Linked DNA regions of Oryzias latipes. The protein of the gene in region 2 interacts with the protein of the main gene of each other region in a pairwise test. Links are inferred from orthologs where the notes say so. Each region holds a gene or a part of one and is shown on either strand. Other genes may lie near its edges.

Region 1 (6,598 bases), on a different chromosome or scaffold from region 2:
AAATTTTTCTGGCAAGGTCGATTTAATCTTTGCTTTCATTTAATTAATCTATTTGTATCTTTTGATATTTATTATCGTCATTAACTATATTTCTGTTAGCATCTTAGTTTTACAAAGCTATGCTCTCAAATGTAACTTTAGTCACAGCATTAATGCAACCATAAGCTGAATAACATGAATAAATAACGGCATCCAACTTCTTGCAACACATTGCAGAAGAAGCTGCATGGGCGGTACAAATGTCATACAATCATACCTGTCCCAATGGTGGGGCTGCCATAGGAGGCATTATGCCAGGGGGCATTATACCAGGAGGCATAGGAGTCATGCTAGGTCGCTGACCCATAGGGGGCATTCCCATCGGAGCAAAATGAGGTGGTATTCCTGGCGGTCCCATCTGGTGAAGCGAAAGAGAAAAAAAGACAAACATAATTCTTATTTACTCCAAATACAACAGAGAAATAAAAAAGACAAAAACATATTTTTGAAAATTATCCATCACTCACATATGGAGGAGGTATTGTTGAGGGTGGTACAGCCGGATAAGCTGGTGCTTGGCTCGGACCATTGTTAGCTTCTGTTGAAGACTGTTAAGAAAAAGAAACAAAACACAGTCAGAACTCATAACTTGTACTTTTGGAAAGTCCCTTAAGAGTCAATTATTTAGGAAAAACCAATAAATCTAAATCCTCAAGTTTATTGACCTGCCAAAGAAAATATTTAAAGCAAAGCAGTATAGAAACAAACTAACTTAAAGTTAGCATTGTAATTACATGAGGACAAATATCATTCCTTTCATAAAAACATGCATAAGTATTTTAAAGTCAATCAGTATAAAAAAATAGCAATCCCAATATTTTGATGATACATTTACTGATATATTAAAAAATATATTTTGTTTAAACTAGTCATGACAGAATTCCTACAAAAACAGCATTTTATAGGATTTTAAAAATTGAAAGTGATTATGGTGTTAAATAAACAAATCTCATTGCTAGGATTTTACATTTACTGTGCACTTCAATGTTCTAAATCCTAATTGAAACCAGTTTAGACTTTCATTTGAAGCTGGAGTTTTAAAAGCCAAGCTAAACTAATTAAAATTAGTAATTTAAATGTAATAGGTTCTCTGACTGGCTAGACAGGCAATATTTGACGTCATACAATGGATTTTTCAGGGGGACAACAAATGAAGTAACTAAACTGTACTCTGTGTTCCTCCAAGCATTTCAATTCTGAGATAGAAATTAAAAAGATGAGAAAAAATCTGTTGCAACAAGCCACTGTGAGTTTTTAAGACGATCTGCCAGAAATTTTTTTGCGCGGTTTTAAGTTTCACCCTAATATACCCATGAAAAATAAGGAGCAAAACCAACGACATCGTTCATGACAGAAGTTGGAGTTTTAGGTGGGGTGGTCCAGACGTTGTCAGAGGTAATAATAAAAAATCAGGTTTTATCTACAGAAGTCATTTATATTTTCAGCCGTTAGTTCTGCAGCTGTTTTTAACACTTTTTTCAAGTGTTTTTTTTTTTAATACAAGGCATCAAGTTAAACCAGAAAGTCTAAACTGAGCAGGTAAATGGTTAAACAAGGGGCTGTAAATAAAATCCAAAGATTCAGGAATGAAAAAAAAACACTGGAAAGTGAAACAGTTCTTAATGGATGGCTAAAGTAAAAACATGTCACTTAATAAATATGTGACTTTGGGGAGGGGGGGGGATTCGTGTTAAAACAAGAGTTTTAATTTAAATTACTTTAGAGATACTCACTTTGGTTTTATTCCTACTCTCAAATATATGCTCATTTTAATGTTTTCTAATGTGGAGGTGATGGGATCAGGGAGTTAAGAGCATTGTGTTTTTATTAGTTTGATGTTATTTTTATGAAAACAGCATTGGCTCTTTGATTTTTTGTGTGTGAAGACCTTTGCAATAATAAAGTATTAAAAAGTGCTCTATAAATAAAGTTTGATTTCATTTGCTTTATTGTGATTATATATTTAAACAATCTGTGTTTAAAATCACTTACAGTTGAAGACATTGGATCTATTTACCACTTGAATTGTATTTATATAGAATAATCCAATTAAGAAAAGATAGAAAAGAAAGTAAGAATTCTTCGGCTTGATGGTGTTATAACAAACAAAATATTGTTTTATTCAAACAACTACGTCTGTGTACCAGTTTTATCCATTCGTATCTACAACATACTTTAGTGGGATTTTGTTAAAAAGCAAAACATTTACAGCATGAGTGGGAAAATTTTGCTCTATTTTAGGCAAGTTTTTTTTAATCTACTTTTAGTATTTTCGTTACTTTACAAATAAGATGTTTTTTTTCTATTATAGTTAGTGGAGGGAAATGATTCACTTTAGCATACTTTTTGCAATAGAAATGATCCATTTACCATATCTTTCTACTCTAAGTGGACATAAAAGCTTCAACGAAAATAATTTTGATCAAAATAATATATGTTTAGATTTGTATAGAGCAGTTGCTTTAACTACCCTTCCCCACAATTTTTGAGACAGAGGCAGAATTCCAACTTTAAAGTTTTTTTTTTTTTAGCTTTCAAGTTGCTTTTCACAGACTGTTAATACTTTTCAACTATGTAACAATGCATTGAACTCAAATGCTAGTCATACTCCTGTTGAGCTGTGACACCTGAAGCTGATTTTTACTGACAAATATAACATTTTAACCATTTGTAAACATTTAAACTTTAGTTGAACAGTACTTCTAGTTCTAACTTTTTGGAACTTGGCCTGTATTGTTTTTCTTTATCTAACACGTTAAAATAGAACATCTACAACTTTAATCAATTCAAATTACATGCACAATTAAATGTATATCCGCAGGAAAAACAATCTAGTTATTCATTGTCAAGATGTTTTTCCCCCAAAATAGTCTTAAACTACCACAGACAATTTATTTTAAGGAAATCCATTTAAAACGTTTATAAATAATACATTTTTTTAAAGTGAGCAAGTTATAGTTATCGTTTAGGTTAACTGTAATTTCACAAATAAACATATAGGTACAAAAGTGTAAAAATACATAATTTTGGTCAATAAAAAAGTATCTCGTGTAGATAGATGGATTATCATGAAATATAAAAAGTCTGTCCCTATTCTTAATTACCCTTCCTTCAATTCTTAAGCATCAGTTAATGATTGTTATAACGAGGAGGACACGGGCTAGGTCTATGCTCTGGCTAAGAAGAGTAAGAGAGGCAGCGATTGTGACCTTTACACCAAACCACCTTTACATAAAATGCATAAATTATCTACTGCCACACTGACAGAACAAAATTCATTTTACAATTGGGAGTTTATTCTTTCCTTATTAGTGTTTCTTCTCATGGTGATAGTCGATGACATGACGCTAACTCGGCTAAATGCTAACAAAAAAGCTAACGTCGCGGTTTTGTTGAAACGTCTAGCCCCTCTATAGTAAAATAAGCTTTAAAATAACCTTCAAGAAGTAGTGAATTTAAAGCCACAAAATGCATTTAGCATATAACATGAAAACAAAAACTAGCACTTGAAGCAACGATACTTACCATGTTGTCTCAATGAGCCTTCGACAAATGTGAGCATCAGCACCTCCCAACAAAGAGCGATACGATTGGTCGACGTTGCTTCCGGCGCAAAGAGGTCAAAGTTTGTAGCTCAGTGGCGTTAGTTTGCGCTAAATGTGCGCAGACATGCGCATCAACGGGGATGAGGGGAGAAGAATTCCAGATTTATGAGTTTCAAAGGGAAAAAAACACAACACAAACGAACTATATAACAAATTAAAAGTAGGGCAAATAAAAGAGTGTGGCTCAATGTAACTTTTGAGTCAAATGTTTCACTTAAAACATCACACATATTATTATGAAATAACTCATATGTCCATATGATTGTAAATGGTATAAAATGTGTTCACTCTTTTCTTGACAATTACCAGACCTGCTCAACATCTAATGTAACCTCAACCAATTTAGAAATCTGAAAAGGATATTTTGCCAAAATAGGGCAGAAGAAATGCCACTAAAAGGCTGTTAATTATGCCAAGAATAGTCTTATAAGGGATTTCATTATCTTTATTCTTTACTAGGTACATTGAAAATGAGTCGGGTAAAGATGACTATACTTGAGTGTAATGCTGGTTGCCTTACACAAAAACGGAAAGAGCTGTTTTTTGATTAAACATCATGTAGAATTTGGAGTAGCTGAAATAAAAAATAACAATAACAAATGAATCAGTTAAAGATACATTTATCAAATATTTTCTTTTGCTTTGCTTTAAGCATGGGGTTAATTATTGATACTACATTTCACCTGTCGTTTTTCTGTTTCTTGACAATTAGGTTGATTAGATGTCTAAACCAGGGCTCAACTAATTCCCACTTTCCAAATAAACATTAAAAACACTATATTTATAAGAAAAATAGTATTGTATTGGATTCATCTGCGCTTTTCCAGACGCTCAAAACCCTTACAACATGTTTATTATTCATTCTCTCCTCATTCACACTTGGTGATGGTAACTACTGATGTAGCCACAGCTGCCCTGGGGCAGACTGACAGAGGCGTGGCTGCCAGTATGCGCCTATGGTCCCTTTGACCATCACCGGGGCATTCATACGAATTCACACACCAGTGGAACCACACTGGAGGCGGGGAGGGTGAAGTGTCTTGCCCAAGGACACAACGATAGTTGACCGGGGGGAGCAGGGATCAAAACGCCGACCCTTCGATCATTGGCCGACCTGCTCAACCGCCTGAGCCACTGAGTGCTTATGATCTAGTCCTAACCCAGTTCGCCAGTACCTCATCTTTGTCTGTGCTATTGATTCACAATATATGAGTTGGTCAATGTTTGCTGCAGGCCATTTTGAGGCAGTGAGTTTTGAGTCCAGCATCCTGCTGACCTGCCTTGCAGGCACTGCAGTCTCATCTGACAATTGGCTTCCTGTCAAGCATAGCCACATGAGCTACCAACAAAGCACATCACATTTAGAGTCTGTTATTCAAGTTGCCCCGTAAGAATGAAGAGACATAGGTTTAAACATTTAGTTTATTTAGGGGAAAAAAGCATCTCATAGTCTTGGTTTAAAGCTGAATATTTCACTAAGAACCTAGCTTTTTTTAATGTTTTGCACATTTTAAAATGTAGAACAAAATAAAAGAAATCCATAAATAAGGGCTAACACAGTGTGATTCTCAGCTTGCATGGATCGGCGTGTTGTTGCCTCCCAACTCCGTGAGACTACATTTGTCCTTGTTATAACCCCTTGTGGTTGTTCTCAGACAACATAGCTCAAAAATATTGTGCATCCTGCTTCATCTATAAGTTTACCCAGTTCTGCAGACATTATACAATATGTTCACAAAACTGTATTCCCTCTGTGTTCCATCAGCACATCCATTTAGTGATAGGGCTTAAAAGAAAAACTATTTCTGGTGCAATTTCTTGCGAGATTGCAACCATCACATGCAACTCATAAAGCTGTTGATTGATAAAGACATGCTATTTTCTCTCCTTTCTTTTTGCAATAGTTAGTGATTCCAGACCATTTAGTTTAAATAATATCCCCTGGTTTGTCTTTTTCAAAATTCCTCACTCAGCAACCCTTGTGCTATCCTAGGCACTTTAACATTGGGAGTTGGGTCATTTAGACCCACTAGACAGTGCGCTGAACCTTTTTTCTTCAATGATTTGTGATCTTCACTGGTGTCCATGGATTACATGAAATCTTTCCACCTTTATCCACCTTTGTTATGGTAGGGATAACACGTCAATGTAAGGGTGGGGTCATCTAAGATAGCACAAAGGTTAAACACATTAAAAGTCAAAAGATAATAAATGTCTAAAACTATATAACTGCTTTATACAGTCACTTTTCACACTTTAAAAATAACAATTCTGAGACAATTTATTCCCAGCACACAAAACAGTGGCAGACTGCCTGGCTCAGAGATAAATATTTTCGATGGCAAAAATTTGACATAGTTCTCTGCTCTTGTGAGCTCCTGCTGCCTGCTTTTCCTCTTTGAAGATGGATGAAGTCATATATTTGAGAACGCTGCCATCTGTTAAAATACATTCTTCCATCTTAAGTGGTTTGTCGTCATTCAGACAGGTTGAAGTGGATGATTGGAGACAATATGAGGCGCATGTTATTAGTATTCTAGTCATACCAGAACACCAAAATTAGTGTTTTTACAAATCAACAAAGTTCAGAGTTTTGTCTGAAAATTTGCCAAAGGTTGTATGAGTAAAGTCTGTTTACATAAAAATGTATTTTCACCACAAGCGTGGACAAAAAGCAGCACTTTCTTTGCTTTCTGAGTGAGATAAAAACAGTAAATGGATCAGATCGCTGCCAGATAGACAAGCTGTTACTGTCGATTGCAACACTTTTTTTAGGAAAACAAATAATGTTTTATTTTGTGGCTCAGTAGAATTACAAGAGGGCAGATGGAGGATTTATTTCAAATCCGTTGGTGCCATGCAATTGTGCTGCTGTGTGTTTGTCAAAGTCCAGGTTTGATTAAACAACTTGTGTCAGTGCAACAACAAAAGTGTGTTTTCCTGAATGCATTTAT
Region 2 (5,799 bases):
CCAGAAGGTGGTACATCTACATTTGGTGGCACACGGTTACATTGGCGGTAATCAATGGGTGGATCCGCTACAGAAGAGACCTGGAGAAACTGCAGCCCCGGCAGGAACCCTTACCCCTGCGGATATTTCAGGCTTCTGTTGGTACTGCGCTCACAAGCGCAGGAAAGGTCAGAAAAAGTGCTGGACCACTGTCCTCTCCAGATACAACACTGGCCCCTCCCCGCAAGAAGAAAACCACTGAGGTACCCCCTGATGTGAGAAAGGACGGCCTGGATCATTTCCCAACGTGGGAACTCCGGCAGAGATGCAAGTGCTGCTCAGGCCACTTAACCCACGTGTACTGTCAGAAATGCGGAGTGCATCTTTGTTTGTTTGTTAGATTATGGGTGTGAGGGGTTGTAAACTAGTGGGAGGGCACAACAGAGACCTCAAGGTTACGGGTGACAGGAAGGGGGGCTGGGATTGCTCTGGGCCAAAGTTCCAACCCAAAACTTCGGGGGTATATTCTAATGAACTCCTGCCCCGCTGCATAATAACCGCAGTGCTAAAAACAACACAACGGTAATCATAATGAAAAAATCCACTGGAAGTACTTTGAAAATAGATCAAAAGAGGATCGTGGTGGGTCTTTAACACCAGAGCTGTAATGTTTTAACGGTTTACACGACTAAGGTAATTCCAGCATATTCTGAAGCTGAGAAAAGCAGCTTTCTGCTGATGTTCAATACTTTACGGTAGTAAGGCGTAAACTTTACAGTAGCAAGGTCTTTACGCAGTTGACGTAAACCAGCTCATTGTGATGTGCAGAAAAAAGCCCCATCAGAATTAGAATTAAAATCAGAATTAGAATCAAAATCCCATTATTTGTGCCAGTGGTTGCATAGTTAGGGTAGTTCAGTGCTTCTCAAATAGTGGGGCGCGCCCCCAGGGGGGGGCACGAAGCGATGCCAGGGGGGGCGCGCGGTGGTGGCGGTTTTAGGCACAGGTTTGTCCGGTGCGCAAATTTAACGTGGGGGCAGCGGTGACAGCGGCTCAGTGCTTGGAAAATAATCTGGTCCACTATTCGGTTCCTATTGTCTGTTCTGTCTGTCCGCGGCTGCGCGAGTGAGAACGAAAGGGGAGGGGTGGTGTGGGCCCTGTCTGCCAGGGGAAACGGGGCACGCGGACCACTGCTACCGCTGCCTGTTGCCCAAGATCACCGCTGCCCTTAGATTCCTAAGCTCATGCTAACAATGTCATTCTTTATGAACTATTGTAGACATTTTGATGACGTGTCTTTATTTTCCATCCATGTTTTCTTTGTCTGCCTGTGGTTTAGTTGGTGTCAGACAGACATAAAGACAGCAGGTAATGCAGGAAAACAGCTGCACTTTTATGAGATCAGAAATAAACAATCCGTCATTTAGAAAAAAAAAATCAGCACGTTTTTACCTATTTCTTCAGACTAAAAACGTTAAATATATTGGTGCTGCTGTGTTAATGTTTCAGATCAATTTAGATTTAATATTATTTATTGATTGAATTATTTTTTTCAGCATCAAATGGTTAAGTTGGTCAAAATGTTTCTAGTTTAAATAAGGAATGACAGATTTTTTTTTTATTTCAGGTACTTTCAGCTTCTTTTCTGTTTTAGACTAGAACAGGGTTTCTGTGGCTAAATAAAGTTAATATTTGTTGAAAGTGGATTTATTTTGCTTTTTTCTTTTGTTAGTGTTAAAAGATACAATTTTAGGTATACAAATTTTATAGATACTGACCTGATGTATTGTCACCGCGCGAGTGTGTCTGTGTGTGTGTGTGTGTGTGGGGGGGGGGGGGGTTATGGGGGGGGGGGGGGGGTCAGGGGGGGCGCGAAACATTTTCTTTTCCTAGGGGGGACCTGGCAAAAAATAATTGAGAAGCACTGGGGTAGTTCAAAGATTGTTTGTTGTTTAGCTGTTGACGGTGACAGCTTCGGTTTTAAAGGGTTAATGGTTACTGATATAAGAAGCAACTTTGAGGCAACTTCAGTCTTGGTTTATTTTTACCAGCTCTCTTCCATGAAATGGGGGGGGGGGGGGGGGGGGGATAGACAAAAAGTGTTTCAAACTGGTAAAATCCACTTATTGCAACCTACAGTATCTGTACTTTTTACTAACTACCCCTTTGTAGTTCTTTGGACTATTTTTAAGTCACAACAGTGACGACTCTTCCTCATCAAATGTCCATGATATCCCCTGAGCTGCGGAAACGGAGAGGAGTCCAATTCCTTCTTTGATTCATTCTTTAAACCTGAATGCGACTGCCGTGCAGGTGATGGGTCTGCGCCGCCAGAAGAACTACGCCGGACGCTGGGACGTCCTCATACAGCAGGCCACCCAATGCCTGAACAGGCTGATCGAGATCGCCGCCCGCAAGAGGCGCAACTACATCCTGGATCAGGTACTGCTGCTCCTCCTCCTCCTGCCTTCTCATTCTCACCACAGTCAGTCAATGTGCCCTGATGATCACTTTCTCTCTAATGGACTATTTATTTATCTTTCAGGGGGTCTCTGTGTATTATAGAGTAGAAGAAGCATTGATCAGCCTCTTGTCACTTGCTTTGTCATGCTTTTGTAACAGAAAATACGTAATGGCTCTCATAAGTGACAGAATATGTCGTGTTTTCACCCTTCAGTACATTTGCACCTTATTTCTTGTCATACTACAGTATTGTTTGTCTTGTGAAATTTCAACAATGTACAAGTAAACCATGACTTTGTAGAGATGTTGAGAAACAAGTAATCTCTGGTGAGTAAGAAAAACACCTTCTGTTGCTAATCTAATAAGACAGAGTCCATAGCTTCTTTAAGCTATTTTGAAGTGAGATACTTGGAACTGTTGAGTGTGTGTTTTATTTTGTTAAATTGATGCTGGAGGTAAGTGGCGACTAACGACGTTCAGGTTTTCAGGTTCTTGCTCTTGGCTGCGAGGATGAAGGTAGGTCGGTCTGATGGTTCTGAGGCTTTCTTGAGGACTCTGTGAGTACAGGCAGGTGGGTTGTTTCTGTCTGTCCTTGTCTGAAACGGGACCAGAGCTCTCATCAAGACCAGGTGAGTCACGGTAAGAGGGGGGACCCGTTAGAGGAACAGAAACATAAACGGGGTTTAGAAGAGGCGAGTCTCCGTCTTTATCTGCACAGTTAAAGCGAGCGTTCGAATCGTTTCGTCAGAGTTCTACTCGGCTTTGTGTTCTCGCTGTTCTCCGGAGCATTTTGTGTCCTGAAGAAGTTTTTTTCTGTGAAAGCGGTAGAAGACGAACAGGCTGCGGCTTTTCTGGATCGGAGTCAGCAAACCTGGAAAGGCTCGCTATAAAAACGGAAGCGGGAATCTTGGCAAACGTTGTTTTTCACGGTGAGATGTTTGGGAAGCTGAGCTTCAAAGCGATGGTTTCTGCGTTGGGGCCAGCCGCCGTCTCCGTCACGTTTGCCTTCTGCGTCGGGACGATGATCAGCTCGGGTTTCTGTGAACCGCCACGTTTCTGAGCCGAAGCTATTATGGGGGAAAAAGTTCAATTTCGAGTTCTGATTAAACATTTTGCTTTTTTTCCTGAGTTTAACGTGTTTTGTGACTGGATTTCATCACATGATGTAAATTGAAGCTAAAAGGATTAATAAAGCTAAAAATTTGATTAATTTTATGTTTTAGTTTGAGTGTTTTTATTTTTGTGGGCAACAAGAAGTCCAAGATTTAAATTATTGTGCCTTTGCTCTGCCTAGCTAAAGGTGCATTGTGGGTAAAATCAACAGGACTTTGCTCAGTCTGGTCAGTAATTGTTGTACAAGTGGAAAGTTAAAGCGTTTGTGACTCCTCGCTGACATCTAGTGGTTAAGGGAAAAACTGAAGATCTGCTTTTTCTCTGAGGTAAATGTTGTTTTCAACATGTTAGAAAGGACGAATATGAAGAAAACTAAGCTTAAAATTGCATTTCTGCTTTGTTTATTTATTCAAATTGTTGCAAATCAGGAGCAGATGGAAAAGTCCCGTTTGAAAAAAGTCGTTTATTGGATAGAAAGTACGCTGGGCGGGGCCACACGCTTCCTTCTGATGCCTCCACTGTCAGACAAACGGATCCATGAGCGTCTTCGTCAGAACTGGGCGGCTGCGTAGCTCAGATATTACTCGCCGTTTTTTTGCACCGCTGATGATACATCGGGGCTGTAAGTTAGAGGGAGAGCGTGTAAACGGAGAGCTCTTTAATATCAGGTGAATTTCTAATGAACTCTTGCCGCTTTGCAGAAACTATGTCCAAAAAAACAACTCAGGTGTGTTGATATTAGCTACAAGTGGCATCAAGACCACTGAGACACTTTGAAAATAGATAGGAAGATGATCGGACTTGGACTGAAATGAGCAAAGCCCGGAAAAGGCTGAGAAATCGACTTTAGCCGTGGCCTTCATGCCGGGCTTTGCTGCGTCTCTGCAGTTTAATCCCGCCGTTGTCGTCAGGAACTGTGACTTCTTAGTGTGATAGGTCTTCACCCGACAAACTCAAAGCGATGTTTCTGCCGTGTTAGCATGGAAGGAGCAAACTCAGCAGCTTTTCGGCGACCTTCGGGGAACCTTCTGTTCTCCATTTCTCACCCGAGCGCAGATCTTCAGGCAGGATCTGGTAAAAACCCGTTCTCCTCGTGACGCCTTCGTTTGTGCAGATCCTTGTTGGTCGGCCCTTTGAGGCGAACGCCGCCGTGCTGCGTAGTTGTTGCGGGTGGGGTCCCTCCTTCTTTCACTAACATCCAACAGCAGTCTCCGGGCGGCGGCGAGCAGAGCGCGAGGTAAAACCTGTGGGTGATGAGAGGCTCGTGAAAAAACCCTAGACTGCCATCCAAGCCAAACCTCTCTCACTTGACTATTGCAGGGTTCCAGCTTGCTCCCAGTGGAAAGCCATTACAAGTAAACAATAACAAACAAGCTTCTACTTCTTTCTTGTCGCCATTGCTAGACAAATGTATATGGATCAGCAAGGAGACGAAAAATGCGTCCTTTTGAAGGTTTTCAACGCAAGGCTATTGTAATTTGTCCCACGGACGAGGATTTTAAAGAACGAACATTAAAGCAAACCAATGAGCAGGGGAAGGATGTGCCCGATCATGCTGTGTTAGAAATGAAAGGTAGGAACGCTGTGGAAGCAACCAATAAAACACCAGATCTACTTTTGACTTTTTTTTCTGTGTTGTCTCTTTAAAAAAAATTTTAAAAAAAAAATCTACCTTGGAAGATGTTCCCCCTCCCCCCTCCCCTCCCCACCATCATAGCCTTTTTTTCTTTTTTTTTTGGTCAGATTATCAGACCTGGAATTATTTTTGTTTTAAACATCCCCACATAAATTTTTTTTTTTTGCCCGTTACCTGCCGCTTTCCGTTTAACCCCCCCACCCCCACCCCCGAAGAAGCACTGCAAACCAAGCCGGGTTCAGGCCCGATTGGCGTTTAAGCCCTCGCCTCCAGGAAAGAACCTTCCTGTGTTATTTTTTTTTTGGGAACCGTTCTTGGTCTGCAGTGCTGTCCCTGCTCCCCCTCGAGCTCTTAGTTGCCCCCCCTCCTCTACTGAAGCCCCCCTCCCTCCTTCCCTCTCTGTGTCTGCTTAAACAAATGTCTCCTCCATGCTCCCTGGAGGCGACCTTTGTTCTCTCCTCTCTGCTTTCATTACCTGCTCTGACTTTGTTTGTTGGCTCCGCCCTTGTATTGCACTAACTGTTGTTTGTTTGTTTCTTCTGGTGGTGTGGCTGCTCTGGTCTTCACTACACCCCCCCCCCCCCCCCCCTTTTTCTGTCTCTCCATCC
Region 3 (6,505 bases), on a different chromosome or scaffold from region 2:
AAGTCAGAGATAAGGCCGTCAATCTGTCAGACTCAAGACGTTCGTAACTCGATACACATTAGCCACATTAAAAGAGTTATTCCCATTACAATAACACGCAACGTTGTTTTCAACACATAAAAAACAGACTGAAACCGCTAAAACAGACATTACTGTGACTACGCTAACTCCCAACCTTGTTAGAAACGCACCAAAACCGCTACATGTTAGCTGCGTTAGCATATTCACACTAAACCATAACCAAATATTTTGACAGAGTGCCGCGTACCTATCAAAATTGCTTCGACATCAATAATCGCTACCAGAATCAATAGAAGGCCCTATTTTGAAAAAAAATATTGATGCTTTTAGGTCCACCACATAGTGCAGAAAATATGGTACTTATCCCGTGTACACCGTGTGTGCAGCATTTGTGTGCAGTCAATAAAGAGCTAGTATTCGCAACTTGCTCATGACAAGAGTGCAGCGTTAGGGCACCGTATGACGCACCACCTACATGTCATGTATGTGTAACTTCACTAAACTCCTACAACACCCATAATAATAGTACATTCCCTTTCACGACGTCCTTCTCTACAACCCTCCATGGTCCTGGACAACCTAAAAACAGCCGTACAGTTTTAACCGTACAGGTGAACGCAGGACTAAGGCTTTACTGATGCCTGCAGCAGCTGCTCAGGTTTAACAAGAATTAGATGGTAATCTGTCATCATGTTCCTTTTGTCTATTGTAGACTTCATTGTATGTGGTGAGAACACCAGCAGCCGAATGTATGCTCTGTGTCACCGACAGAAGGACCTACAATGCTGCTCTGGTATGGATTGTGTTTGAAATGTAGATGGATCAGGATTCAGTGTTGGTTAGAGGTACAATAAGAAGGTTAGAAAAAGGAGTTTGGAAAGTTTCTGAGCTGCTTTTCCTTTTTTGGTTTGAGATACCACAACTTTACATTGAGAAAATAAAATACAACCTCATAACACTTGTTGAAAAGTAAAAATCTTTATAGTTAGGCACCCTATAAACATGAAGGCAGTTGATCCGGTGGTCTTTTGAAGACGCTTGTGAATGCAGTTTATTGGACTGTCTCTACTTAAAAGATCAGTCTGGATTTAGGCAAATTAAACAGCAGGAGGGCTGGCATTTGTGCAGCACAATAAAAGTTTAGGAATTGGCAACATAAAATAACAGAAAATTATCCAAAAGACTGAGATTAAAGTCTACCATTTGGAATTGTGTTATGTTGATACAACTTTAAGAAAATAGGTAGTATTTGATTGTAAAACCTTTCAAAAACATCTTAATTAAAACTTTTTGGCCTTTACACTTCTTACATAATGGATCTGTAATTTGCTCAGTTACTTGAAACATTTGAAAGATTTCTAATGAGACTTAAAAGGAATGAACAGTTTGACTGAAATAAAAATTTGTTTTTTTCTGCTAAGTCTGTGACTCAAGTTGGATTAGTCAAAAGACTTTTTTCCTTTTTCTTTTCGTTTGATTATTATTATTATTATTTTTAGAAACAATGATTGCAATATCATAAGAGCCATCAAAAAATGATCTGAACATCTTTTTTATTAAGCTTTTGGAGACTTTGACCTATGTGTGTCCTTTTTGTTTCTTACTTTTCTAAATGAGCAGCCATTTTTAGCTCTTAATGTTCATTTTTTTTTAATGTAAAAGTCTCAGCTCTGTACACAAATGCATTTCACTTATGTTATTATTGATCAAGGCTTTTTTAACCCATTTTTATATATGCATTTATAAAATGAAAACATTGGCTTTTTGTGTTTTGAACTTTGTTGCATGACATGCTTTTTTATTTTATTTTGATACAGTATTGTTTTATAAAAATGGTTTTATTATGCCCAAATTGTATTTTGTATGAACAATTTGTATTCCATGTTTATACTTTTAGTAGATTTATATAAAAATGTATATAAATATGTAATAAATTGGTCCGTACAAAGTTTTGAACTTTATCTGGTCTTGTGTTTTTATTGTTCGATGCTATTAAAAAAATAATCTAAAACGAAGCAAAGATATTGTATTTTATTTTTTGAAAGAGGAGTTCATTTTATATTATAACTTCCGGTTTGCTGAACAGGAAGAGGCGGAGCTTCCTACATGAACGCTTCTGGTGCGTTGGTCATTCAACATGGCCGCGGGACCAATTTCTGAAAGAAACCAAGGTAATTTACGGAATTATTACCCATTTCTTTTGACATTTAGCCGTGCATAAATGTATGTAATGTGTAGTAACACCCAACAAGGGCACATTTTTCCTCATAGAGCGAATATGGATCCTAAAATTAGCTAATATTCTTCTGTTGAAACCGGGTAAACACATGGAGTGAAGCGGCTTTAGCCTAGCTTGTAGCTAATAAAGCCATTCTCCCAATTAATCGTTTATCGAATTTGCACTTTAGATGCACGTCCTTTTATATAAGCATTAAGCTGTGAAAAAACGTATACTCATTTCCATTGTTGCAAATCTATAAATAGAAAGAGAAAAAGCAATATTTTATGCCAGGAACTAATACTAAACAACTGCAACTTCTTTCATAATTTAACTTCAGTTCATTGACCTCATTTTATTCTTACCAGGCAGCATGATCATTAAATTTTTCACAGTTTCAACAATGGTTTTAAAAAGAACTAATGAAACTTTAAGTGAACATAAATATGGTCATTTCTTTTTGTAATTCGTATTCATTAACTTGTGTCAGAAAGTGGAAACCTTTGTAGTGTTTTACTCACCAAGCCTGCTCTTGTCTGTCCAGATGCCACGGTGTATGTCGGTGGGTTGGATGAGAAAGTGTCGGAGCCGTTGCTATGGGAACTCTTCCTGCAGGCTGGTCCTGTGGTAAACACGCACATGCCCAAAGACAGGGTCACGGGTCAACATCAGGGTGAGTGCACTTTCAGTTGGTCAACAAGATTGAACAATTATCTTCTTAGAAAATTATCTTTACAAAATTGTTTTTCTTTATTTAGGTTATGGCTTTGTGGAATTCCTCAGCGAAGAGGATGCTGATTATGCTATTAAAATAATGAATATGATCAAGCTCTATGGAAAACCCATTCGAGTCAATAAGGCCTCGGCACACAACAAAAACCTGGATGTGGGTGCGAACATCTTCATCGGTAACCTGGACCCAGAAATCGATGAGAAACTGCTCTACGACACATTCAGTGCCTTCGGTGTGATTCTCCAAACACCAAAGATCATGAGAGACCCAGACACCGGCAACTCCAAGGGTTACGCTTTTATCAACTTTGCCAGTTTTGATGCTTCTGATGCCGCCATCGAGGCCATGAATGGCCAGTACCTCTGTAACCGGCCCATCACTGTGTCGTACGCCTTCAAGAAAGATTCTAAAGGGGAGCGCCACGGCTCCGCCGCAGAGCGACTCCTGGCGGCGCAGAATCCGCTGTCCCAGGCGGACAGGCCCCACCAGCTGTTCGCTGATGCCCCACCACCTCCCTCTCTTCCCACCCCGGTCCTGACCACACTAGGAGCTGGAATGGGTATTCCGGGCATGGGAGGTGGGTGTTACGTCACATTTATGTGAAAATAGTTTTGTTTTTTTAAAGACTCGCTTTTATGAACATTGTCTTTTTGATGTATTTTTGTGGCATTTTTCTGATGATAGAGACAAAGAAAATGTAGCTCAAACTTGCATTTGACTGCAAACTGCAAAAATTAAAAACTGGATTTAAATCTGAAGCAGACAAAAAAAAAGGATTTTTCTGTAGTTTTACATAACTACTGCCATTCCGCAGAAACTATGTTCTAGAAAACAACACAGGATCTTTTGATTTTGGCTAAAAATGGCATCATCACCATCATCATTTTCATAAAAGACCGCTTTGAAAAAAGATCAAAGGATGATCAGTGTGGGACTTGTGTTTTGTGTTAGCCTAAACAAGTGTTTTTACAGATACAAATTAGCAATTAGCTGCAAAAATACAAACAAATGTACCCACAAGTCCTTCAAGTAGATTGTGTTGATTTGTGTGTGCAGGTCTGCCACCTCCTGGTGCCTTTCCCCCTGTTCCTCCCCCCGGATCACTCCCTCCTTCCATGGCCCATGGCATGGGGATGCCTCCATCAGCAGGTGGCCCACAGGGTATTGGCGGTCCAGGTGGACCACCACCCTTCCCGCCTGGAAGTATGCATCCAGGTGAGACATTGTGACTTCTTAAGAGTGGTTTTTGTCTTTCTGTCGGAGGAAATACAGAGGTTTTGAGCCTCAGAGCCGCGTTTACTTTGTTTGGCATCCGCATAAACATCTGAAAGTCAAAGCCTGTTCTCGTTTTAGTATCTAGTTTTTCTTCCCGCCACCTCCAGTTTGATCCGTTTCTGTCACTCAGGTATGCCTCAGATGCCCATGCACCCTCCCGCTCCGCCTGGCATGGTTCCACCTCCTCCTGCTCCACCAGGATCATCCCAACGCGCCCCGCCCCCCAACCTCCCCCCACCCCCGCCTATGGGCATGCCGCCCAGAGCACCATATGGACCCCCCATGGGTGAGTGTTATGACGCCTCTTCATGTCTCTGTCAAATAGAAAAAACACCTGAAAGGAAAAACGGCGTTGAAGGAAGTGTCAGAGTTGGCAGGATTTGGCAGAGACGCTCTGAAAGTGATGTAATGGGGGTTTGGTAAGGAACCAGGTCCGCCAATCATCTCAGTCACTGACTTACATTTATGAAATCACCTGTGCTTGTAGCATCCTAATATTTGAGTTGTTGATAAAGTAAAACTTCAAACAAATACCTACCTTTTCAAACTAAACTTGCTAATGAATTATTGTCAGCTGAATTAAGGATATCCTGATCAGATTCAGAGTCGTTTGGTTTTTAGTTTTGATTTGATCATTTTAGACTTAAACAGAGCACTTCAGTGAATAAGTTTGAACAATCGAGTAAAAATAGTGCAGCTTGGCCGTGGACCTCGTCTCGCGCCCCTAGCTGTCCCCCAGTTCTATCTGGATGAGGCCCGTCTGCTGGACTATTTAAACATCTAGTTGTAGATTTAGATAAGCTAATTCTTCTCTAGGAGTTCTGGTACGTCGCCTGTCCGTCCTGGCGAGAATCCCTACTTCATGTTGACACCCCTGCAGACTTTTAGCATAGTCGTTTTTGATCATAATTAGAATACAAGACATATAAGTTCTCTGATCCGGAAATAAAATCCGATTCACGCGATTCAGCTCCGCACATCCCTGGACAGATTTGCTAGTTTTAAAGCAGTAAATGGTTTTACAGCAGGGATGTGGATGAGTATTTTGAAAGAGGAGTGGCTGACATGTGGTCAGAGATGTATAAAGTTTAAAAAGTCCTTCTTACTTTACTGCAGTGGATTCAATTATTTTAGCTGCTCTAAAAATACTTAACTTTTTTACTTAATAAATGAGATGCTAATTCGGATCCATCTAAAGCATGGGTGTCATACTCATTTACACCGAGGGCCACATCTGCATAGCGGCTGTCCTCAAAGGGCCAGATATAACTTATACATGTAACTAAATGTAATGAAAAATAAATGTAACTACTCCTTAATGTTAAATAACTCATTATTTACTATAAATTTTTAAAGTGACAATTACAGTTGCATAGAAAACATGTTTGCTTGTTTTTCCAGCATAAATCCTTTTAAATTTGATTCTGTCAGGTTAGGTTATATGGACAGTGTTTAAGTCCTAATGTATAGTTGCCCTGTCTACACCATTTTTTTTATTTTATTTTAAGAAATTAAAAACTTTTATGATCTCGCGGGCCACATAAAATGACATGGAGGGCCACATTTGGCCCCCGGGCCTTGAGTTTGACACATGATCTAAAGGAACCCTTCAAACATAATCTGTTCCAAACTTTGGTCTCATTTCTTTTTCAACTGTGACTAAAATCAGTACAGTGACCTAATGACCTACGGCTTTAGTTTGACTTCGGCCTGGGCGAAAAATCGATTGAATCGATTCGAAATTTTTGTTACGGGCAGTAAGGCAAACGACAAACAACAACATCATAGCTCACACGGAACAACAAGCGACAACATGGCTACCGGTGAGAGTGGGAAGTTTGTTCCCAAGAAAGGAATAAAATGATCTGTTGTTTGGAACTGGTCTGGGTTTACTGCCACAGACACACACACAGTCATTCTACAAAACCTATATAGTTAGTTCATTAGTTAGATAGGTAGTAGTTAGTTGTTAATGTTATTTGTTAATAAAGAATACTGGGTTGTAATTATTACTTGTACCGGTATTCATTTCTGCCGCTGCCGCCGAAGGATTTTGTGTTCGGCGGCGCCGGGCGGGGGGGTTGGCGGTTGACCGCGACCCCTGCTGCTTCATCACTGAAGTGATGGCTTTGCATATCGCCAAAGACATGACGGTACCCATATATACCGTGGAGAAGACGGGGTTTAAAAATTTGATTAAAACCTTAGACCCCAGATATGAGCTGTTTTGTTAATCCTCTAGAAAAAGGTGCTACTGT
Region 4 (5,799 bases), on a different chromosome or scaffold from region 2:
TCCTTTCTTTCTGTCCTCAGAATATAAACCATATTCATGAAAAAACATTTTCAGTTTAAGCAGCACCAGAAGCTTCTGCTGCCTGTCCTTTCACAATAAAAGCTGAGAATGTTCCCTCTAAACCTTAATAAGGTGGTCCCTCACAATATAGCAATTGACTTTTCACAGTCTTGCTGTTTCACAGATGACAATTTTGAAGGTTTTTTATTTTTATAATTTTTTGCAGATTGTGTTCTGCGGCCTGATTGAATGTTGACACTGTCAATCAATCTCTGTGCATAAATCTTCCATCACGATCAGATCTTTGTTTTCATTCTATAATCCTGGACTCATTTTTCTATGAATGTTTGAAGTTTGAGAGTTTAAAAAAGAAAGAAAAGTGTGAAGGTGTTAATGTCAGTCGGGAGAAAGTGTATAAAATGTAGTGAGGAGTTTTTACATCTTCAATGCTACTTCGTGGATTTCATCTGCTATTGCAGGTTTTTTTTTAGAACAAGACAAACGAGAGGGAACACTGTAGTTGGTTTTACCAGCCTTAACGGTCACAACTGTAAATGGCACGGAGCTAAAGCGTCTCTAACATACGTGTCATTCTTCACTTTTCTTAGCGGAATTGTCTGAAATCAGACATATTTGGGTTCTCCAGAACAAACAGATGTGGCTTTAGGTTCGTAGGTTCAGCAGGTTGGTTTTTTGGAGGTTCAAACACCAGCTTTGACACTCATCTCGTCTTTGAGAAGGACACCTAAACTCACATTACGCTCATTTGCATGAAACCTTCAAGTCGCTTTGTATTCAAGCCTCTGCTAAATGCAACACAGTGTCATGTAACAGGCTGTTTAAGTTTGTGCCACCTTTTTCTCAGGTCATAGATCTTTATTCTTTTTGCCCCCTAAGAGACGCTTCAGTGTTTGGACCACAGCTCTCCTAAAGTTCTCCTCAACTGTTAGTCGTTTGTTCTCCTTTAGGTCTTTCTGACACAAGGCGGAATTTCTGTCTTTTCAGTGATTACAAGTAGTTCAGATCCGGAAGCTTCAAAGGACACCAACATTATCACACTACTACCCCCCTGCTAGAATAACGCTGTGACGGTCATTTATAAAAATACATGTACATGTCAGAGAGAGCCTGTCTTTTGTTTCATCAGTCTAAAGAACTTTTTTTTTTAAGTTTTGGTGAAGTTTTGGTCAAACAGGAGATGAGTCTTTCTGTTGCTTTTGCTCAGCAGCATAATTTTCATTGAACTCTCCCATGGATTTTAATCCAGACTCTTTCTTGTTCTTCAATCATGAACAACTACTTCATTATTGAAACATACAAAACAATCAAAAAGGAAATGTTTTTTTTTAGTGCTGTACAAGGAACTCTGACTGAAGTCATGAAAAAAATACCAAAATAGTCTAATCAGCTGAATGGTCTCCTTTATGACTTCTGTTGCACTATTCAAACACTCTTTTTATTCTATATATTTTAGCATAGAATTTACCCACAGGGGCAAAAGTTTCATTTGGCTCTGCGACAACAAAGTGCCCCAGCTCTTACCCAGTCGGTAGTGAGTCTGTGTTGGGCTCTGCGGTGCTGGTGCCGCTTTGTTCTGTGTTGGACGTGGCGTTGGGGCTGGGCTCTGCAGGGGCGGCTGTACCCTGGGCCTCCTGACCCGGAGACGGGCTTCCGCTGCTGCTGGCGGCAGGAGATCGGCCCGATGGAGAGGATGGAGGAGGAGGAGTCTGTCGGGCCACGGCCCCACAACTGCTCTCCATCCCGTTCGACATGACTTCCACTTTATCTATGGGGGGGGGGGAAGCAAACAGAGGTCAAAGAGAACAAGGAGGTTTGACTGCAAAGAAACAGGTCTGTATCAATGGGATCTGACGCTTTCTGCAACAATTACCATATTTTTCAGAGTATAAGTCATGTTTTTTTTTTACATAGTTTGGCCAGGGGTGTGACTTGTGTGATTTTAAAAAATAAATATTAGCTCATAAATTTTTTATTTTCCCACTTAGCAGTTGTTCCCACTAACGATCACTAGAGGGCACTGTGGGTGTGAATATCAGTCATTACTAACGGCAACAAAGAAGAAGAAACACCATCCCAAACAAAAATGTGGGACGACGAGTCATCAGACTGAGTTACAGAGACGGAAGTACCGCTGAAAGTAGCATCATTCAGACGCAGCTCCTACAGTAAATGTTGAGCTGCAGATTCCGAATGATTTTATGGACCCAAACATGGAGACGTGATTACCGATGTTCTTGTAGAACTCCCAGCAACAGCAGTCTGTAGTTTATAAACACGTTTAGACTAGCATTGAGTAGTAAATTTGTCATGCACCAAAAAATAAGCAACGGATGCATATTTGACACATGCATCCTGTTCAGCGTAAACGCAAAGTTGTTTAAAACATTGCTTTTTTTTGCCAGAGTACGACTTATGCTGCAGTGCGACAACATACATCTGAAGAGAAAAGAAAAAAAATCGGGTAACTGTTTTTAAACTTTAACAATTGGAACATCTAAGAAACAAATTCATAGACTTTGAAGATAATATTCATTTCATGGAGCGCGTTCACCAGAAAGCATAAAAACAGCATCTAAGAAGCTAAACCTGCTGATTGTTGTCCACATGTTCTGCAGAATATTTACCAGCACTGCCCCCAGGACTGCCATGACTCTTCAAGGGTGGATGGCGAGCACAAGAGCCCGGCTCCTCGCTCAGCTCCCCATTAGTTAAAGAGCTCCCCCTGGAGCCCCCTGTCGTTTCGCCATGCAGACCCCCCACTGAGAGCCTGTTGGTCCTGCAAACAAAAATCGATGAATCAGAGAAGACATAAGAAGGAGGAAACAAAAACACAGTTCAGATCCTCCCATTCCTGTCTTCCATTGACTCGCTTGGAACGGACATCCCAGAGCTCTGCTGCTTCATGACTCAGTGCTGCAGAAGATCAAGTGTGCTCAGCATCAAAGCAGCACAAGCGGAGGAGGTGTTGGTCCCGTTTCACGGCTGGGTATTTTCACAGAGCTAAATATAACTTTGCTCTTTAGTCGGGAGCTTTCACATGAAGAAAAACACGCTGGCTTTCTTTCTCCAGGATGGAGGAATGCTGCGGCTGCAGTTGGACCAGCTTCCAGAAGACCAGAGAAAATGGATAAGAGGCAGCAGAAGACAGAGGCAACAGCCGTACCAAAAAGCCGGTCTGGTGCCAGCGAATCCGTTTTCGTGTGGCCGTCCAGCTCCGAGCTGTCTGAGAAAAATGTGTCTGCTGTTGAGTCTTCTAATCTCTCCAACACAGATGTTGACCGCTTCTCCATGACAACAGCGGTGCGGACCCTCGCTTGAACCGGGCTTAATGCCCCCCACAGTGTTTTTTATGGGAATACCATCTGACCCCATGCACTCCTGCAGCTAAGCTTTGAAATAAATGCAGGTTTGTTTTCAATATTTATTATCCCACTACCATTCTAGCCAGCGAGAGCAGCGCTTCAAACCACACTCAGTGGGGAATGGTTTGCTGGCGCTCTGCTCAAGCTCTTCAGTCAAACAAACTGGCACTGCAGTCCTTTTCTTCTCCTCCTTCAATTTATTTAGAATAGAATTACATCCCAGGTTCATTATTTTCATTTGGATGCCTTGCAAACAGTATTTTAGAAGGAGGTTACACTAGTTTATTATTACACCATTATCCTTATTGTAAAAAACAAACGTCTGCAGAGTGTTGAAACCAGAAGGATGAAGAGCTCTCCTCCACTGTTAGGTTTTACGTCAGTCTATCAGGTCATGAGAGGCCGAGCTGCTAATTGTTGATCCTGAAATAACAGCCAACAGTTCTACATTTAAAGACGAAAATAATTTAAATTTCATCCATGTTATCTTAAAATGATTAAGATTAACCAGATTTTAAGAGATCTTTTACTGATATAGCACTTCTTTTTAAAAAGAAAGCCAACTCAAAAGCCTTAGCCACCACTAAGGATGTGCCCATATATTTTTTTCCTTCCGATACTTATAACATATATTTCCTCTGCAACTGTGCCCGACAGCCAATATTTGCCGATACCAATACTTAAGTGCCCATACGGTGCATGGGGAGGGGGGTTGACCCGCCATGCACCCGCCTCTGGCTTGTCTCTACGCCTGCTCCTAAACTTGGCTGTGGACCCCGCCTCTGGCTCGTCTTGTAGCCTCAGCCTTCCCCAACCCCATCTGGATGGAGCCCATCTGTTGCAATATTCAAACATGTAGTTGTAGAGTTAGATAAAATAATTCTTCTCCAAGAGTTCTGGTTCATCGCCTGTACGTCCTGGGAGAGGATCCCCCCTTCATGTGGACATTTGCTGAAGTTTCTTCTTTTTTTCCCTGGACTCAGACATTTTTTGGGTTTTTTTTCCTTACCGAGAAGGAGGGTCTAAGGGCACCGTTTAGTTTAGTGTTTAGCTTAGCCATTACCTATTGAATTCTATGACTTCATGTTCTTTATGATTTCACGTTTATTAAACAACTACCCATATGAAGCCCGTTGAGGGGACTGTTGTAATATTGGGCTATATAAATAAAATTGAATTGAATTTAAGACTTTAATAGTACTGCAAAATTACAAAAATAAATCCAAGATATCAAAACCTGTATTATTTTTAGGAGTATATGAACGCACAATAAAATTTATTATTTTAGACGTCACCCATGCTGGTGACTTTAATCCATCTTTTAATATGATAGTCTCACCTGCTGTGTGATGCAGATGCACTCTCTTCACTCTGCGTCCTTCTCAGGTTGGGTCTGTCAGACTGAAGAATCTCTGAAACACAAACACATCACACCACAATGATGCAAACAAGTCCTTATTCTGACAGAATCACGAACACTTCACCAATTAAAGAGATGCAAAGTCACAGTCAGAAGGGTTCAGATTAAAGACCAGAATTAAAATATTTTCAGCTAAAAAAAGAGGGGGGGAAAACACATTAAAAAAAATAAAACTTTACAATACAACCTCTTATTACACGAAACTTACAGTTAAAGACGCACAACAGAGAATTTCCTAAACTACTATGGACGGTTTTCAATAGCCTTTAAATATGTGACTGACACGACTGCATTAGACAATAGGTAAACGCAAAAACTAAAACTAATAAAGATGAACAATTTTAAAATCAGCACAACAAACAACAAAACATATTTTGAATATTCTAAATAAGCCTTTATGCCTCAGTTGTATCGCTGTTAAGGCAGGCAGGTTAAGGCAGGTGGAAGAGAAGAGTTGGGTTACTGGACATATAGAGCTGAGTATCATCGGCGAAACAATGAAAATCTATGTAGAATTTATGGAATATATTACCAAGGGGTAGGAGGCAGTTAATGAAGAGAAGGGAACCTTGAAGAACATCAGAGAAAATGGTGTCAAGAGATGAAAGTCTGAAGGAGGATGGAGTGAGATATGGTGTCAAGTGCCACGGTCAAGTCAAGTAGGATGGGGATGGTGATGAGCCCAGAATCAGCTGCTAGAAGGTCATTAGAGATTTTCAACAGGGCAATTTCAGTGCTATAAAGGGGGCAAAAACCGGATTGAAAGGGTTCAAAGAGATGGTTTTGATTAAGATGATGGTAACGTTCGGAGGCAAATTTTTTCAGGTATTTTGGGGATGAAGGGTAGGTTAGAAATAGAATGGAGATTATGAAAGGAATTGGGGTCTGGGCCTGATTTTTTTAGGATTGGTTTGAAAGTTGCGGTTTTGAGGAGTGAGGGTACAATACTGGATGTCAATGAGTAGTGGATAATAGCAGAAATAAAGGGAAGAAGAG
Region 5 (6,304 bases), on a different chromosome or scaffold from region 2:
CAGTCGATCATCTTTTGATCTGTTGTAAAAGACAGCGGGCTTTAAATCATCAGTACCGTATGCTGTTTTTAGCCAAAAATGAAAAAAAACAAAAACATTTGAAATTAGTCTCTGAGTTTTGAGCGGGACTGCTGGTAGGGAGAGACCCTACCCCCCTTCCCATCACTCATATCTGAGCTCATTATTAACATGCTCTCCCGCTGGCTTACAGCCCCTCACAACCCCGACCTAACATTACAGACGCAACAAAAATGGCGACCAACATTGGAGCTATCCAGCTGTACGGTTTTGAGCCAAATGCCAGCTCAGATGAGGAAAACAAAGACGTTCATGGATCTATTTGTCTAGTGGAGGCATCAGAATGGAGTTTGTGAATTGCAAACTGTATTTTCTACTTAACAAATTAGTTCTTTTTGAGACAGCATTTTTTTTATTGCCTCCTGATTCGCAACAGTTTGAATAATAAAATACTCAAAAACTGCAGTTTTGAGCTTAATTTTCTTTAAATGTGCCCTGCATGATCAGTTTGACGCCACAATAACATGTTAAAAACACTATTTTCATTGGAGTGGGTCTTTAACTATGACACCGTGTAGTTTGGAGTCAACAGCAGACACAAAACTCTTACTGAAGAGGTGTGAAGTCCAGGCCATAGGGCCGCTCCCAGAAGGACATTTTCTCTGCGTAGTAGCTTCTGGCCTGACATGGAACTAGAGTGAGGGCTGCCGAGGAGGGCCACATTACACCTCCATCTTTGAGCCAGCGGTCCCTGGCAACCAGAACCGACTCCACCATGAACTCAAACTAGAGCCAAGAAAAGGAACAAATCCAGACAGTTGCTGTGTACACCAAGCATCATCAAGCTTGGATGACGAAACACACGACGGGCATCGTCACAGAAATCTAAAAAACTGTTCGCTGACAGCACTAAAGGTGTTCATTTTACCAGGAGGCAGTTCCCCATCCACTCAGACACCAGGACGTCCACCTGCTCGGGCAGCTCCAGCTCCTCGGCTCGTCCCTTCATCACCGTCACCACGTCCTCACAGCCGTTGTGCTTCACCAGCTGTCCGGTGTAGTCTGCCATGGAGCTCGCCTCCACAGCATACACCTAGAAAACACACAACAGCTTCCAACATGATCAAACTGTCCATGCAAGTTCTTCACCAGCAGATGGGAGTATTACCACAATTATCTCAGGAACTGTTCTTTTTTTTAGGATTTTATGACTTATTTTAGTGTTTAGTCTTTTAGGACAGAAGTTTAAGAACAATTTTAGAATAGCATGATATTAGTAGTGTTCTCATTTTAGGATAAAGTTGTCCTTCTTTAAATGAATTTAGTAAAAAAATTAACAACAAAACAGATGTTGGTCTAATATATTGTATGTTGTATGAATTACATAAAATCTGAACCAACTAACAGTACATTTTCTACAATATTTAGAACCTAACAAAGTCTCCTCCCTCCCATGTAGATAGAAATAATAGTTCACTTTGATTGGTAATATTCCACCAGTACTTGTTTGCTTCTCTGTAAATGAAGCAGAGTGTGCATTATATTCATGCAAAAAAAGTGTTTGCCGTATATTACATAAGGTATATTTAGAGTGCAGTGTGGTGGAATACATATGTATCTGACTGTATGTGACATCCTATTAACATTACCGCTGAGGGTTTCGCCAGCTGAGCACAGAACATGCTGATGATGCCCGTCCCACAGCCGAGGTCCATCACCACCTTGTTCCTCAGGGAGGCGCTGTTACTGACAATGACCTGTCTGTACGTTTCAGTGCGGCTCCGGTCGGACAGCATCTCCAGGTGAAGCTTCTGAAACATATTAAATAAGTGAATAATAGAGAGATGTTCATGTCCAATCCTGGTTCTAAAGAGTCCCCGCCCTGCTTGCTTTTTCAACCACACCTGTCCTGCTTGCTGTTGATCAGCTGGGCCTTCACTATTCCTTCGAGGAAAAGATGGAGAGAAAGGTTCAGTGTTTTCACAAAGTGGGCTAGCATAGGTGGACACAGCAACTTTATATGGCAGCAGTAAGTCAGACTCGAGTTAATAGCTCAAGCCTGCTGCAAAGAACTGCATCTATTTAAATGGGACCATTTTTTTTATAATAATGTTAGGGATGCAAACAAGCTGTGTTTAAAAATCCACCAGATCAGCTGCATTTCCTGCTTGATAGATAGACAGGGTGGGTCTCAGCTGTGGTTTGTTTGGGAAGGCAATTTGTTGACCATTTTTGTAAGATTTATTTTTCTCTCTGAGCAAAGGCAGCATAATTGTACAAAACATTATTTGGTCTGATTGCAGTCTTTGTAAAGGTTTAGATTGCCTATGGATTTTATTTGTGGCATGAGCTGTTTTTATTGAACTACGGTATTTATTAAATATGTTTTATTAAGTTTAGCTTTTAACATCCATCACTTTTTTCAATTTTAATTATGTTAAAACACTTTAAAAATTTAGATAAAGCTGATGATTTGCTGTTTTGATTGACTTTGCCGTTTGATATCGTCAGACATTGCAAGATACCCAAAGTAGGGGATCGGTTTAGTTGGATATGTTAATGTATGAATACTAAATGTATTGAATTTGTGTAAACAAATAAATAATTCATAAAGTGAGTGTAAAACCTAAATAATATAAAGATATAAGATGAGAGGAGCAGGAAGATAAATAACTTAGATTACTTTCCCCTGATGTATTTCTTTGTCTAACCCAGAGGTCTGCAACCTTTGACACTTAAAGAGCCATTCAGGTCAATTTTTTACTGACGACAACCCAAAGTGTTATTTCAATCTTTACAAGAGTAAGAACCACATTTGCATTTATGTTATCATCACTATTATGATTTTTAAAAATAAACTCCTGTTTTTTGGAATAAATGAAATAAAATGAAAAAATAGCCTTTTTTTGAAAATAAGAAACAATTTCTAACTTTTGACAAAGTTTCGTATGACTCCCTTTCAAAGTAAGATACCCCATGTGTCACAAAAGATCATCTCAATGCAGCAAATGTAGCAGTAGGAAGTGTTATGTAAGCGGTGATTTGAAAAAAAAAGATTATTTTACTGTTAGTGGGGCATCACAGTCAAAAATTTGTAGACCTAATTAACAAATATTAAATCAGAGCTAATTAAGTAACCCTTTAAAAATCATAATTAATCCTGGTGCACCTTAATTCTGATTGTGATTACTTACCTCAAATTCATTTTCAATAGAACACACATTTCTGTCATAATGTTTTAGTTTGACTTGTGAGACTGTCAACTATTTTTTTAAACTTTTCTACTTACTTTTTGAAAAATAAAAACTTGTAATTTTTCTTTAACCAGAGAGCCACAATGGAGGGGTAAAAGAGCCACAATGGAGGGGTAAAAGAGCCACAATGGAGGGGTAAAAGAGCCACATGTGGCTCCGGAGCCCCAGGTTGCAGACCCCTAGTCTTAAGATACTTAGCAAGCTTTGATGATGAATTTCAAAGAAAAACACAAAAACTTAATTGAGATTTTTGTTTTAACACTTAAATATAAACTTTCAAGTTCATGCCTTTAACCATTTTTTTCCATTAAAAGACACTATATTTTTATATAATGCTTTCTTTAGTTAAGTTTCACTAGCAAAGAGACATTTGTTACAAAAATAATTTAACCTCTTCTGATTTCCATCAGCTGAAGTAAAAACTGTTTTATCCTAAATTAGCTGGGATGTTTGTCTAATTTGATTATTTTTAATTAATGCTGTACTCTTTGTTATAAATAATATTAAAGCCTTTTTGAGGGAAAGTCTATTAGAGTAAACAAAAAGTAACTATTATGTTTACAAAACACGTTCACATATCTAACCAGTGTCCCGTAGCTTCCATAGTATTCTTCATCCTGCCACGGGTCCTCTATAGAAGCATCCTCTTCCTCATCGGCGGTGTCCTCGCGCAGGTATCTGGCCGGAGCATAACCCGTGACCCCCTGCAGCTCCGCCCACCACCAGTCTGCAGAAGACTTGGAGAGGACAAGCAGCCTGTCTCCTGTGTAGAAACTCAGCTGCGGGGCGAGAGAGGGGAGGTTATTCAGGGCTGCGGGTGCTCAGATGCGAGGCTGACGCCTGCGGGTTCTCTAACCTGCTCAGAGCCGCTTCCTGTAAAGTCACACAGCGCGACCCACTCTTCAGGAGACGCATCCTCCTCTTTCTTTGTGTCCATATCCACAAAGTTCTTTCGATCCATCAGCGTAGCAGCCTATTTTAATCAAACTACATTGAATACAAATCGGTGTTAAAATGTTAAATAAATAAAAAAGTAGTAAAAAAGAAAAAAAAGAAAAGATGTGCAACTCGGGGTAGCGCTGGTACTGGCTACACTTCCTGGTATGACGTCACTATGCGACTTCCTGGTTCCCGGAAATGTCTACATTTGTAAGCTAAAGAAAATTAAACACATTTTCTCCAAATTGGGAGCCATAAACTTTCTTTTATTTTGTTACTATAATGTGGTAAAGATCCCAATAAAGCTTTCCTGCTTCCATAAACAAATCTTACCTTCCTGGTCACTCATTTACAAACACATTTTTTCTCCACACAGATATGGAACAGCAAAGACATCAGATAGACATAAATCCTTATTTTATCCATCTTGGTTTACTCAAAACATCCTTCTGGTTCATCAACTGTTTAAATCAAACGGATCTTTAATGTCACATGAAAAACTCTGCCTCAAATATTGCATCAAATTACCTAAAACGGAGTTTAACATTGTTTTGAAAGCAATTCCTAAGTGTATAACTACGTTATTCAAAAGCTCATCATTGTGGAGTCCAACTCTGTTACCAATTGGCCTAACTAAATTAGAAATAGGCCAAATTTGTTTTTCTTCTTCATGTAACACAAATCGCTGCATACACTCACTCTTTCAGAAGGATGTTGTATCCATTCCCAAATACTTTTTAACCAATAAAGTGAAAGAAATCTCATTTAAATTAGTCCATAAATTTTACCCATCCAAACTATATCTGCAAAGGTTCAAAGAAGATATTGATGTAACCTGTTCTTTTGGTCAAGAACACCCTGAAGATGCTGTACATTTATTTTGGTCATGTCCCTTTTCCACTACTCTATGATCTAAAGTTTTTAATTTCATTTCCACCCACATTGACCCAGACTTTCACCTGTACTTAGAACATGTTATGTTTGGCCTCACCCACTGTCCATCTCATAAAAAAGAACAATTATACATCATTAAACTTTTATTTTTTTTCTGCAAATGGAACATTTATAAATCCAAAGTTACACATCATACCCCTCATTTTTCTGTCTTTGTCAAACAATACATTGACATACTAAGAAACTCTGACAATAAGAAAGCCATTAAAACATTCCATCTGCGCGTCAGTTTCAATGTTTTTATGTAAAATATAATAATAATCCCCTGGTTTGTTTCTTTTCTTGTTGCTGTTTTGCATTGTTGTGTATTGAATTGTTACATTCAATAAAGTTTGTAAAAAAAATAAAATTAAAGAAAATTAAACAAAAAAGAAACAGATTTTAAAAGTTTTGTTGCATGATAAATGCGTTCAAGTTTTTTTGTTATTTTAATTAAATATAAAAGTGACACAATTTTTTTTCATCATGCTATTAATCGAGAAAAGAATCAGAACAACAAAGGTGAGAAATTCAATGTCAGTCGTACTCGAGTCACAATTTTTTTGTTTTTACCTTCAACATTTAGAATTATGATATAAAACAAAAATCAAACTGTCTTTTTGTATTTCATTTGTATTCTTGCAGAAACACTAAATGCCTTAAATCAAGCTCCATAAATGTGACATTAGAACTATGTGTAGTTTTACCCATTATGAGATTTGAATTTACTGTTGTCATTATTTTTTACTGTATATTTTTAGTGCTGTTTATTTTCTATCTGCTCTTTTAAATAGATCTATGGTAATTTGCACGTTAATGATAAATAAAGTTTTATTCTGATCTTTTGTATTCTATATAGAATGTTTATATTTTAATAATTAATATTCCTAGTGAAGTGTCTTGGATCTTGTGATCAATTCCAGTTGTGTATATTCTACATATCAGAGTTCAAAATATGCGTATCTTTTTTTAATACTGCAAAGAAAATAAACAAGACACCAATAGAAAAATATACAAATATTTATTAGTTAAAACAATAAACGTATCCAAGGCTTTAAGGACAAACAACAACAACAAACACATGAAATGAAACATTTAAAAACCTCAGTTGATTCTCAGGTAAAGCTGATAGTACTATATTTACCTAATATATTTTTTAA

The links.
Region 1: the proteins of hnrnpul1 (region 2) and prpf40a interact in a two-hybrid assay, tested with the Homo sapiens proteins (2 studies listed by BioGRID and IntAct). The link is inferred for Oryzias latipes from reciprocal best matches to the Homo sapiens genes HNRNPUL1 and PRPF40A.
Region 3: the proteins of hnrnpul1 (region 2) and sf3b4 interact in binary tests that used the Homo sapiens proteins (3 or more experiments, as listed by UniProt). The link is inferred for Oryzias latipes from reciprocal best matches to the Homo sapiens genes HNRNPUL1 and SF3B4.
Region 4: the proteins of hnrnpul1 (region 2) and wwp2 interact in binary tests that used the Homo sapiens proteins (3 or more experiments, as listed by UniProt). The link is inferred for Oryzias latipes from reciprocal best matches to the Homo sapiens genes HNRNPUL1 and WWP2.
Region 5: the proteins of hnrnpul1 (region 2) and prmt2 interact in a two-hybrid assay, tested with the Homo sapiens proteins (2 studies listed by BioGRID and IntAct). The link is inferred for Oryzias latipes from reciprocal best matches to the Homo sapiens genes HNRNPUL1 and PRMT2.

What each region holds. Positions count from the first base shown.
Region 1 is NC_019879.2:20,298,129-20,304,726, forward strand, and holds the start of prpf40a (pre-mRNA-processing factor 40 homolog A), read right to left. Parts: upstream 3,691-6,598; 5' UTR 3,568-3,690; coding exon 3,565-3,567; intron 588-3,564; coding exon 507-587; intron 398-506; coding exon 257-397; intron 1-256.
Region 2 is NC_019871.2:3,016,106-3,021,904, forward strand, and holds part of hnrnpul1 (heterogeneous nuclear ribonucleoprotein U-like protein 1), read left to right. Parts: intron 1-2,292; coding exon 2,293-2,421; intron 2,422-4,959; coding exon 4,960-5,128; intron 5,129-5,799.
Region 3 is NC_019869.2:7,215,278-7,221,782, forward strand, and holds the start of sf3b4 (splicing factor 3B subunit 4), read left to right. Parts: upstream 1-2,098; 5' UTR 2,099-2,158; coding exon 2,159-2,192; intron 2,193-2,783; coding exon 2,784-2,912; intron 2,913-2,997; coding exon 2,998-3,549; intron 3,550-4,028; coding exon 4,029-4,187; intron 4,188-4,377; coding exon 4,378-4,533; intron 4,534-6,505. UniProt on the Homo sapiens protein: Component of the 17S U2 SnRNP complex of the spliceosome, a large ribonucleoprotein complex that removes introns from transcribed pre-mRNAs.
Region 4 is NC_019864.2:27,483,163-27,488,961, reverse strand, and holds part of wwp2 (NEDD4-like E3 ubiquitin-protein ligase WWP2), read right to left. Parts: intron 4,796-5,799; coding exon 4,723-4,795; intron 4,509-4,722; exon of another isoform or gene 3,092-4,508; intron 3,008-3,091; exon of another isoform or gene 2,869-3,007; intron 2,798-2,868; coding exon 2,646-2,797; intron 1,787-2,645; coding exon 1,543-1,786; intron 1-1,542. UniProt on the Homo sapiens protein: E3 ubiquitin-protein ligase which accepts ubiquitin from an E2 ubiquitin-conjugating enzyme in the form of a thioester and then directly transfers the ubiquitin to targeted substrates.
Region 5 is NC_019879.2:19,640,901-19,647,204, reverse strand, and holds the start of prmt2 (protein arginine N-methyltransferase 2), read right to left. Parts: upstream 4,479-6,304; 5' UTR 4,234-4,478; coding exon 4,129-4,233; intron 4,052-4,128; coding exon 3,857-4,051; intron 1,830-3,856; coding exon 1,668-1,829; intron 1,112-1,667; coding exon 947-1,111; intron 805-946; coding exon 629-804; intron 1-628. UniProt on the Homo sapiens protein: Arginine methyltransferase that methylates the guanidino nitrogens of arginyl residues in proteins such as STAT3, FBL, histone H4. Acts as a coactivator (with NCOA2) of the androgen receptor (AR)-mediated transactivation.